Oryctolagus cuniculus: one gene and its partner. The protein of the gene in region 2 binds, or shares a complex with, the protein of the main gene of each other region. Links are inferred from orthologs where the notes say so. Each region holds a gene or a part of one and is shown on either strand. Other genes may lie near its edges.

Region 1 (4,095 bases), on a different chromosome or scaffold from region 2:
TCTCCACCCACTCCCCAGCTCTCTACAACCCTCAAGGAATCTTCATGGCCCCCTTTGCTTGCACATGCACTGCTCCTGATCCTTGGAACCATCATGCGTGTCCAGGGAAGAGGTGGAACCTACTGAAAAGGAAATGCAGCAAGAATTGCAAAGTCCTGGGCACCTACATTAGGCCTGGTTGATGATACTACAGAGTAATGGGGACAGAACTGCAGCATCATCTGTTAGGGATGAGATTCCTCAGCCTCCAGGAGCTGGAAGATGCCCCCTGATGAATGAACTATGAGCACTGCCACACTCTGTGTCCAGAGGGGTCCTTTGTCCTTTTCTCACATCCTGCTTGTATCTGATTCACATCCAAGTGTTCCATACACAGAGATAGGATTGTAATAAGCCATCATTTTTCTCCCCACATCAATAAAGTACAGTGATCCAAAGAGGAGGCCATCATGAGCAGTTACAGAAAGCAATGGATAGAGCCAGTGTTGTGGCACAGCAGGTTAAGCCACCACTTGCAGTGCTGGCCTTCCAATACTGGAGTGAGTGCCAGCAGGAGTCCAGGCTGCTCCACTTCCAATATAGCTCCCTAATACATTTGGGAAGGCAGTGGTGATGGCCCAAGTGATTATGCTCTGCCACCCCCATGGGAGACCCTGATGGAGCTCCTGGCTCCAGATTAGCCCAGTACCTGTTGTTGCAGTCATTTAGGGAATGAAGCAGCAACACACTCTCTCTCTCCCCTTGATGCTGTCTTCAAGTAAATAAATAAATTTTTTAAAGATTTATTTATTTATTTGAAAGTGAGAGTTACACAGAGAGAGAAGGAGAGGCAGAGAGAGAGGTCTTCCATCTGCTGGCTCACTCCCCAGTTGGCTGCAGCGGCCGGAGCTGAGCTGATCTGAAGCCAGAAGCCAGGAGCTTCTTCTGGGTCTCCCACACAGGTGCAGAGGCCCAAGATCTTGGGTCATCTTCTACTGCTTTCCCAGGCCACAGGAGAAAGCTGGATCAGAAGTGGAACAGCCAGCTCTCAAACCAACAGCCATGTGGGAAGCCGGCACTGCAGGCAGGGGCTTTACCCGCTATGCCACAGCACCGGCCCCAATAAATTAAATCTTAAAGGAAAAAAGCAGTGGGCTTTGAAGGTGACCCACAGGTCAGTTTCTGCCAGGCTCCATTGTTTTCTGTAAACTTTCATGATTGCCATTATTAATAAAATTCTCCATTTTCTCTCATAACAAACTCAACTTCTCTTGAAACCAAGGAGAAAATATCTACTTGACTTCAACAAAACAAATGGTCTGGATTAAGTGACATCTTGGTCTCTGAAATAAATATTTGGGCTCACACCTGTTCTAGTCCCAAGGGCTCTCCACTGGCAGAGTGACAGGCTCTGCCCAGGTCCTCCACACACCAGCTTTCCAGGCCTTCTCACTCCCCCTCAACAGCCCACTCATTCATTCTCTGTGTGCAGCAGCCTTCCCCACCCACTTTCACACCCAGAATGTGCTGGGGCACAGCAGACACCTGTCACCTGCTCCTCTGGGGAGCCTCAGCCCTCTACATGACGGCATGTAACAGGGACTTGATGGACATTTCTGGAGGAAATATTGTTTGTATATTCATAACTATGATGGAAGAGAAAACGATAGGAAGAAATCCTTCTTTGCTATCTTAAAAGGGAAACAAGTGGCCAAAGGGGCCTTAGGAAAGTGGCACATTGGCCAGGTGGAAGCTGCCAGGCACGCTGAGGTGCTGAAAGAGGGGTCCTTCTGCTCCCAGCCAGGGCCAGCAGCTCCACCTTGCTCTGTTTTTGCAGAGTCTAAACAACAATCATGTTGGAGCTGCAATTTTTGTTTCCTACAGCCTGCCTTCCTGCCCCTCCCCTCCATCCAACAGCCCAGTCATCCCCTCTGCCCCCCTTTCCTCCTCATGCACACCACTTCTTCACCTTTGGGTGTCTCAGGACCCTCCCTCGTGTCTGTAGTGTCCACTTTCTCTCCCTCCTTGTCACCCCCTCCTCCTCAAGCATCTAAGGAGCAGAGTTGATTTGGGAGCAGCCAGCAGCATTTGGGACCCTTGTACAATGACCTAAGTCAGAGCAGTGGGTGGCCAGCCAACCACTTCATGGGGCCAGCTTGAAGGCATGGAGGAGAGGAGCCTATCTGGGCACGTTCAGGTGTCTGGGGGCAGTAGTCTTGGCTAATTCTCAAAACCCCAGCAGACCAAGAAATGAGGCAGTCACAGGTGCACAATAACCTGTCCACTACCCCCTTGGCCGGTGGGATGGAAGCCCAGGTCTTTCGGCTGCTCGGCCAATTATTTCCAAAAAAGGCCTCTCTCACACCTAGCAAGGGGGCATATCAAGTTGATTCTTTTTCCAGCTGGATTTCGTTACTTAAGTGTCAACCATGGTAAATCGATTAAGTCTATTATCTCTTCGTCTAGGAGCTGGATATCTGCAGAGAGTTTGTTCTCTGCTTGCTTAATTCAGGCTTCCCAAAACAAGCGCCCTGCCTGGTTTCTAGAGTAACCCAGTAACACCCAAGGGTTGGGCAGACGACGTCCCTCTTACCTGCGCTCCGGGAGGCGCTGGGAGCGGGGCCGGCCCCGGCCGCGGGGACAAAAAGCAACGTCTTTGGCTCCTCGCCCGCCACACGCGCTCCCCGGCGCCCCTGGGGCCTTCCCTGCGTACCGTGTGGGGACAAAGCCAGAGTCAGAAGGAGGAGCGCGGGTAGCGGGGCGCCTGGCTTAGCCGGCCGCATGTCCGCGCGTGGAGGAGCGAGAGTGCCGGAGGTTCCCGGAGGATCCCGAGGCGGGGACCGCACAGTCTGCAGCCCAGGAGAGTGGTGGCGGGAACGAGATCTCCGCTACCTGGCCGAAAGGAGTCCTCCCTGCCCGCCTGCGTCCGGAGCACGTCTGGCTGGGGAAGCACTAGGACTTAGCCCGGTGCGTGCCGGAGCATGTGCGCCCCGGGGGCGCGGGGCGGGGACGGAGGCGGGGCGCCCGGGGACCACGGGGTAGTCCGGGGGGAAAAGGGCGTGTCCCGGCACAGGGGACCCTCGGACAGAGCCTCTGGCTCAGCCTGATCGTCGGGGCTCCCTCCGAACACCGCCCGGGGCGCGGGACCACGCACTTGTATCCCCCGTCTCCGTGTCCCCCGCGTCGCACCACTGGTTCTCGTGGGACTGAGTCCCTCGCTCGCCCAGCTCTGTTGAGTCTCTCTCAGTTCACGGCTTCACGGGACCGGCGGGGTGAACAGAACAGGCAGCTTCCAGGTCTGGATGGGAGAAAACTGCGCCAATTTTCAATCTGGGAGCAGGCGGAAAGGTGTGGAGTTCACTTTCTTCAGCAGGGACCCCGGGTTCCGAGGGCAGCGTTCTCCCCGGGGCAGGGCGTCGCTGAAAGCGCAAACCATAGGCGCCCAACTGCCCGCCACCCTAGGCATCCACGGGAAGCGTCGGTTTGAGCGCTTCGGCAGGTGAAATCGCTGAAGTCGACCAGAACCCCCAAGAACGCAGTGTTTCCAAGTTAGGGAATTCTCGGAGATTAAATCCACCTGTTCTTATCAAAATAAAGCGAGCAACTGTGATCAAACTGTGTTCTGTTAATTATTGGGGACTGCTTTGTCAAGAATATTGAAAAGTGTTGGAACTGCTTGTCAATCAATGGATTGCCAATGATCTCATATGCAAAGTGGCAAATAGGGGGTCCAGGGAAGGAGCAATCAAGAAAAACCAAGGTCTCTTCACTCATGAGTCCTTGCCCAGCATTACTCTACAAAGAGACCTTGTCCATCACAAACCTTGAAAAACATAGCTCAACTGGTACAATAGTTTATCTAGGCTTGGCAATTCCATCAGGCCCAGGAAACTAGGGGCAAGAGCAAGTTTTACAGAAGTCTTAACTGCAATGCTTGGGGGAGTTACACAGGTGGAGACAGCAGCTTCCAATTTCCATTTTTAAAATCAAACATTTTTAAAAGAAGACAGAATTTTAAAAGGCATAAGTATTCAAAAAAATCTATCACTACATCTTCCCAAAATTGTTGATAAGCATAAATTTTGTTTAAATCATCTCTATTTCCATACATACGTA
Region 2 (4,412 bases):
CCTGTCTGCCTCCCTGCTCGGCTCGCTAACGGCCAGCTTTGGCTGCGGAACGAGCAGGGAATTTGTTGAGATGCAAAAGGTCATGAATTTAAACGAAAACCCAGGGAGTCCTGTTTGCTAGTGGCATCTGCCATCTGAAAAGCTCCTACTCAGTTCGCTTCCGGGAGGAACAGACCTGTTCTGAGGGTCGAACCACGCTTCCCTCCTTGGGGCTGCCCAGCGGCCTCCCCAGCGGTGCACCTACCCTGGTAGCCGCCGCCGCCTCCTCCCGCGGTGCAGGCCCCTCCGCCGCCCCCGAAGCCGCCGGCCGCGGCCCAGCCAAGGGCAGCCCAGGCTTCGGCGCAGCCCTGGCCGCCCTCGGCCCCCTCCCGCAGCGAGCGGCCCGCCTGCGGCGAGGGGGCCCGCGAAGTCCAGCCGCCGCCTCCACCTGCGGAGGAACAGCAGGGTGGCCGGCAGCGGGGATGCGGTGCACGCCCGCCTGCCCGCGGCCGCGCGCCCTCACCTGCCGCCCCGCCTCTCCCGCCGCTCCCGGGCGCTGCTGAGCGGTTCTCCAGTTTCTCGGGGGCGGCCTGAGTCCGGCCTCCGTCCCGCCGCCTCAGGTAGGCCCGACCACCGCCTCCGGCAGCCACTAGCAGCGGCTCCAGCTCGCCCTCGCGCATCTGTGGGGCCAGCCGCGCATTCAGGCGCGCGCCCCGCAGCCGTCCAGGGAGGACCAGGACCCGGGGCTCCGACGAGGACGGAGGGCTCGCCGCTGGGGCCAGGGAGCGGGCGGCCTCCGGGAGCAGACAGAGCGCGGCTGTGCGCGACTGGGGCAGAGGATCAGGACTCAACCTTGGGCAGTCGGGGCGAGGGCGGCCAGGCCGGGGGCACCTACCTGGAAGACGAAAGTGGCGCCCCCGCCGCCCCCGCCGCCCCCGGCCCAGCGCCTCGACCCAGGCACCGTTTCGGGCCCATCCGTCGCTTCGTGCTCTTCAGCCGCCCAGGACTCTCCGAGGCAGACGCGCCGGCTCTCCGGGCTCCCCTGCGGGCCCCAGGGATCGGGGCAGGCTGAGCTGGCGTCCGCACCCCTCGGGAAGGACCCCCAACCCCAATTCCCACACCGGCCCCCGCCCCGGGCATTCGAGCCGCCCAGGAGTAAGCAGAGCCGGGGACGCTTACGCCGGGGCAGGCGTCCTCTCCCTGCTGCCCCACGAGGATGTAAAGTGGGTCCCCGCGACCCAGCGAGAAGACGGCGGAGACGAAGACGCCGTGTGCCCGCGACAGGTGGTTCTTGGCGCCTTTGCCGCCCGCGGCTCCGTAAGCCGAGATCCTGTGGGACACGACTCTGAGTGCTCCGGCCTGGGTCCTCACGCCCGCTGTCTAGCCTAAAGGTGGGAGCCCGGGGCACCTCCAGGATTTATCTGGGGGCCATTGAGAGGATGTAGTCAACTCTGAAGGGCTGGGAAGACTAAGTTTGTACACCAACGATTTCGATTTCACGTTTATTTCAGGAGTTAATGGAGACGGGGCAGACTCAAGCCATCGGCGGCTGGTTAGGGACCCGGTACCGGCTGATCGGGTTCCTTAGGAAGGAGAGGCGGTGGGGTCACACAGGTTGGGCCGACATCGCTTTGGAGGACCTCAGAACGCAAGGTCGCCCGAGCTTGACCTTCTTGCCCAATCTGGGGCCTGAGGGTCACCACCCACCCACCGCACCCGCACTTACAGGTATTGCCCAGGGCCGGGCGGTTGCCACAGCTGCACACCTCGCAGCGGCCCCGCGGCGCCCACCGTCACCGCCACGCTGCTGCCCGCGTACGCCCCGTCACACTGCGTTTGTGTGGGGCCGCGTCGGCCGCTGGCCCCGCAGGTGGAGAACAGCCAAGGCCCCTCGGTGCCTGGGAGAAGCGGGAAGGGAGGAGGAGGTCACGGAGCCCCTGGCCCGGCCTGGGAGAGTCTGGGTATGGCGCGCAGAAGAGCAGAGAGGAGCCCCGAGTTCACCTAGGGGATTTAGGGGAAAGGGTGGCTCCAAGCTGCCAGGTCGGGTGGTGACTTTTGGGTCCTGGGCGCTGGGAATGGACAGCGGCCGTGGTGAGGATGGCAGAGAAGGCGCTTGGGACCCCGAGCTGGAGCAGAGAATGGCGCCTGGAAGGTGACAAGGAAACAGCAGTGTTGGGATAGGGAGTAGGATTGTAATGGGGGAGGCGGTAAGAGGGATAACCCCCAACAGCCCGCCCGGGTTGCCCGTGGCCACACCCCTAGTCCCGCCCTGCCGATGCCCAATGTCCAGCATGGACGCCGGCGCAGCCCCGCTCCATCCGCCAGGCCCGCGGAGCCCGATACCTCTGCCCGTCGCCAGTGATGACCCGTGGGTCTGCAGGCGCTGCCTGCTTTTTCTGGGCTTGGACTGCGGCCCGCCCCAGGGAGATGCTGAAACCGCCGGGTTTATCCCTCCTTCCCAAGATGCGTGATCCCGCACCCCAGGAGCACAGACCGGAGAGCTTGGGCCGCCAGGATTCCAGGCCTCTGGAGGAGCCACCGGGACCCGGTGTGTGGCGACCGCGATCCCCAGGAGCAGGAAGGCGCCCCGGCCTGAGCGGCCCCCGGACTGCCAGACGGCACTTACCCGCGGCGCCGAGCCACAGCAGCAGCCGGCCCGACCGGCCCATCACCTGTTCCTCGCCGGGGCGGGGGCTGCTGGCTTGGTCCTTCAGCCGCGGCCCCAGTGTCCGGCCGCAGAGATGCCCGGGTACCTAAAGCCGCCTGGCCACGCCCACCTCAGACCCCGGGACGCCGAGGAAGGAAAGGGCGGGGCCTGTGGGCAGCCAGGTCCGCACTCTTCCGGGAGGAGCGTCGCGGGGCTCCGCCCAGGGGCTCCTGCGGGCCGGGGAGGAGGCGCACCGCCCTCTGGGGCAGGCGCGTGGGGAAGCCGCAAGCCTCACCCCAGGCACCTGCGGGGGCTTCGGGATTTCTCAGGACACCGGCAGCGCGGCGTGCGCCTCGATGGTGGAGGTGGTTGAGCTGGACAAGCGCTCTAAAGCGCGCCTAAGAAGGCACCGGCGCTGTGTTTACCCGTGTCTGTCGGCGCCCTGTAAACCACCGGGTACCCCCCAGCTGGGAGGGCTTTCTGTGTTGTCTTCAATCATTTGCCCAAAACACCACCAAAGGCCGATGCCCGTGCTTAATATAACACACTTGAAAAAAAGCCACTATGGTAGTGATTTAGTGTACATCCGCACTGCTGGGTGTAGATGGAACACTGGGTTTTGCAAAACTCTGATACCCATGTGCCGATGTGCTCTGTAGAAAGCCTTCTACAAGGTCACAGAATTGACTTCATAAGGCCTCCATCTATGGCTGGTCCTGGAGAATGGAATCAGCTTCACCTGAGAACCTGTTAGAAATGCAAATTCCCCACTTTCACCCCAGATCTACTGAACCCGAACCTCTGTGGCAGCACTCAGCAATGTTTGTTTTTCAGATGTATTTATTGGAAAGGCAGAGTGAGACATATACATACACACAAAGAGAGAGGGAGAGATGGAGGGAGGGAGAGAGAGAGGGAAAATCTTCCATCCACTGCTTCACTCCCCCAAATGGCTGCAACGGCCAGGACTGGGCCGAGCTGAGTCAAGAACCAGGAACTCCATCCCATTTTCCCAGTGGGTCGCAGGAGCTCAAGGATCTGAGCTATCATCGGCTACTTCTCAAGCACATCTGCAGGAAGCTGGATTGGAAGTGGAGTAGGGGTTGGCATCCTGGCACTTTTGCAGGCTGCAGGCATCCCAAGTGGCTTTACACAGGGCAGCACAACGCCTGTTGTAACGACTGGTTCTTAACATGGTGGTTTGTGACAGGTAAATTTGAGAACCATTGCTATTTGCAAATACAGTACGTACAAGGTTAATGAAACCTGTTGGACCATTTTGTGTTCAGCAGTTCCATATATGGGGAGGGGTTCTTTCTACCTACTGACAGGATGAGTTAAGGCACATTACACTCACTCTGGTGACCTGCTAACAGTTATAAGTAATCCACACAGCAAACAACATCAGAAAGCCTAAGTGCTAGAATTCAGAGAAAAGAACCACATAGAAACCACCAGAATAAAGAGGAGTGTCTGAGTGTATGCTTCATCTACCCCTCCCCCATTCTGGCCCACCACCCAGAAAGTTCCCGGTGCAAATGCTGATGCCGGCAGCCACTGCCCCAGTCTTTGTGGCTTCATGTCTCAGGATAGCAGCAGGCACACACAGGGGGCCATCAGAGTAGATGCTGAGCTCACTAAGGACACCTATCCTAGTGGAATGCTGAGTTCCAGAGGGACCCTCATTCCCAAGAGTATTCAGGTACACTGGGGCCCACAGGCTGTTGCCCCCTCCCACTCAGGATTCCCCCCAAACCCCTCCCCCAACAGTCCTGATCCTCCCTGG

What was found. Proteins that work in one complex are often made in the same cells at the same time.
Region 1: the proteins of LTK (region 2) and ALKAL1 are in contact, whole or in part, in a crystal structure (PDB 7NX0), measured with the Homo sapiens proteins. The link is inferred for Oryctolagus cuniculus from reciprocal best matches to the Homo sapiens genes LTK and ALKAL1. Residues at the interface, in NP_002335.2 of Homo sapiens: Tyr124, His140, Phe143, Ala250, Ser251, Pro252, Glu253, Leu359, Phe360, Leu361, Gln362, Leu364, Ala365, Val366, Glu368, Glu372, Glu374, Arg376; in NP_997296.1 of Homo sapiens: His93, Arg96, Leu97, Asn100, Thr101, Arg102, Glu103, Arg112, Arg115, Leu116, Arg119, Leu120, Ser123.

The regions. Positions count from the first base shown.
Region 1 is NC_091437.1:77,162,890-77,166,984, forward strand, and holds the start of ALKAL1 (ALK and LTK ligand 1), read right to left. Parts: upstream 2,938-4,095; 5' UTR 2,763-2,937; coding exon 2,573-2,762; intron 1-2,572. UniProt on the Homo sapiens protein: Cytokine that acts as a physiological ligand for receptor tyrosine kinase LTK, leading to its activation. Monomeric ALKAL1 binds to LTK, leading to LTK homodimerization and activation.
Region 2 is NC_091443.1:64,598,294-64,602,705, forward strand, and holds the start of LTK (leukocyte tyrosine kinase receptor), read right to left. Parts: upstream 2,850-4,412; 5' UTR 2,649-2,849; coding exon 2,606-2,648; intron 2,125-2,605; coding exon 1,981-2,124; intron 1,878-1,980; coding exon 1,706-1,877; intron 1,310-1,705; coding exon 1,159-1,309; intron 1,022-1,158; coding exon 875-1,021; intron 660-874; coding exon 245-659; intron 1-244. UniProt on the Homo sapiens protein: Receptor with a tyrosine-protein kinase activity. Following activation by ALKAL1 or ALKAL2 ligands at the cell surface, transduces an extracellular signal into an intracellular response.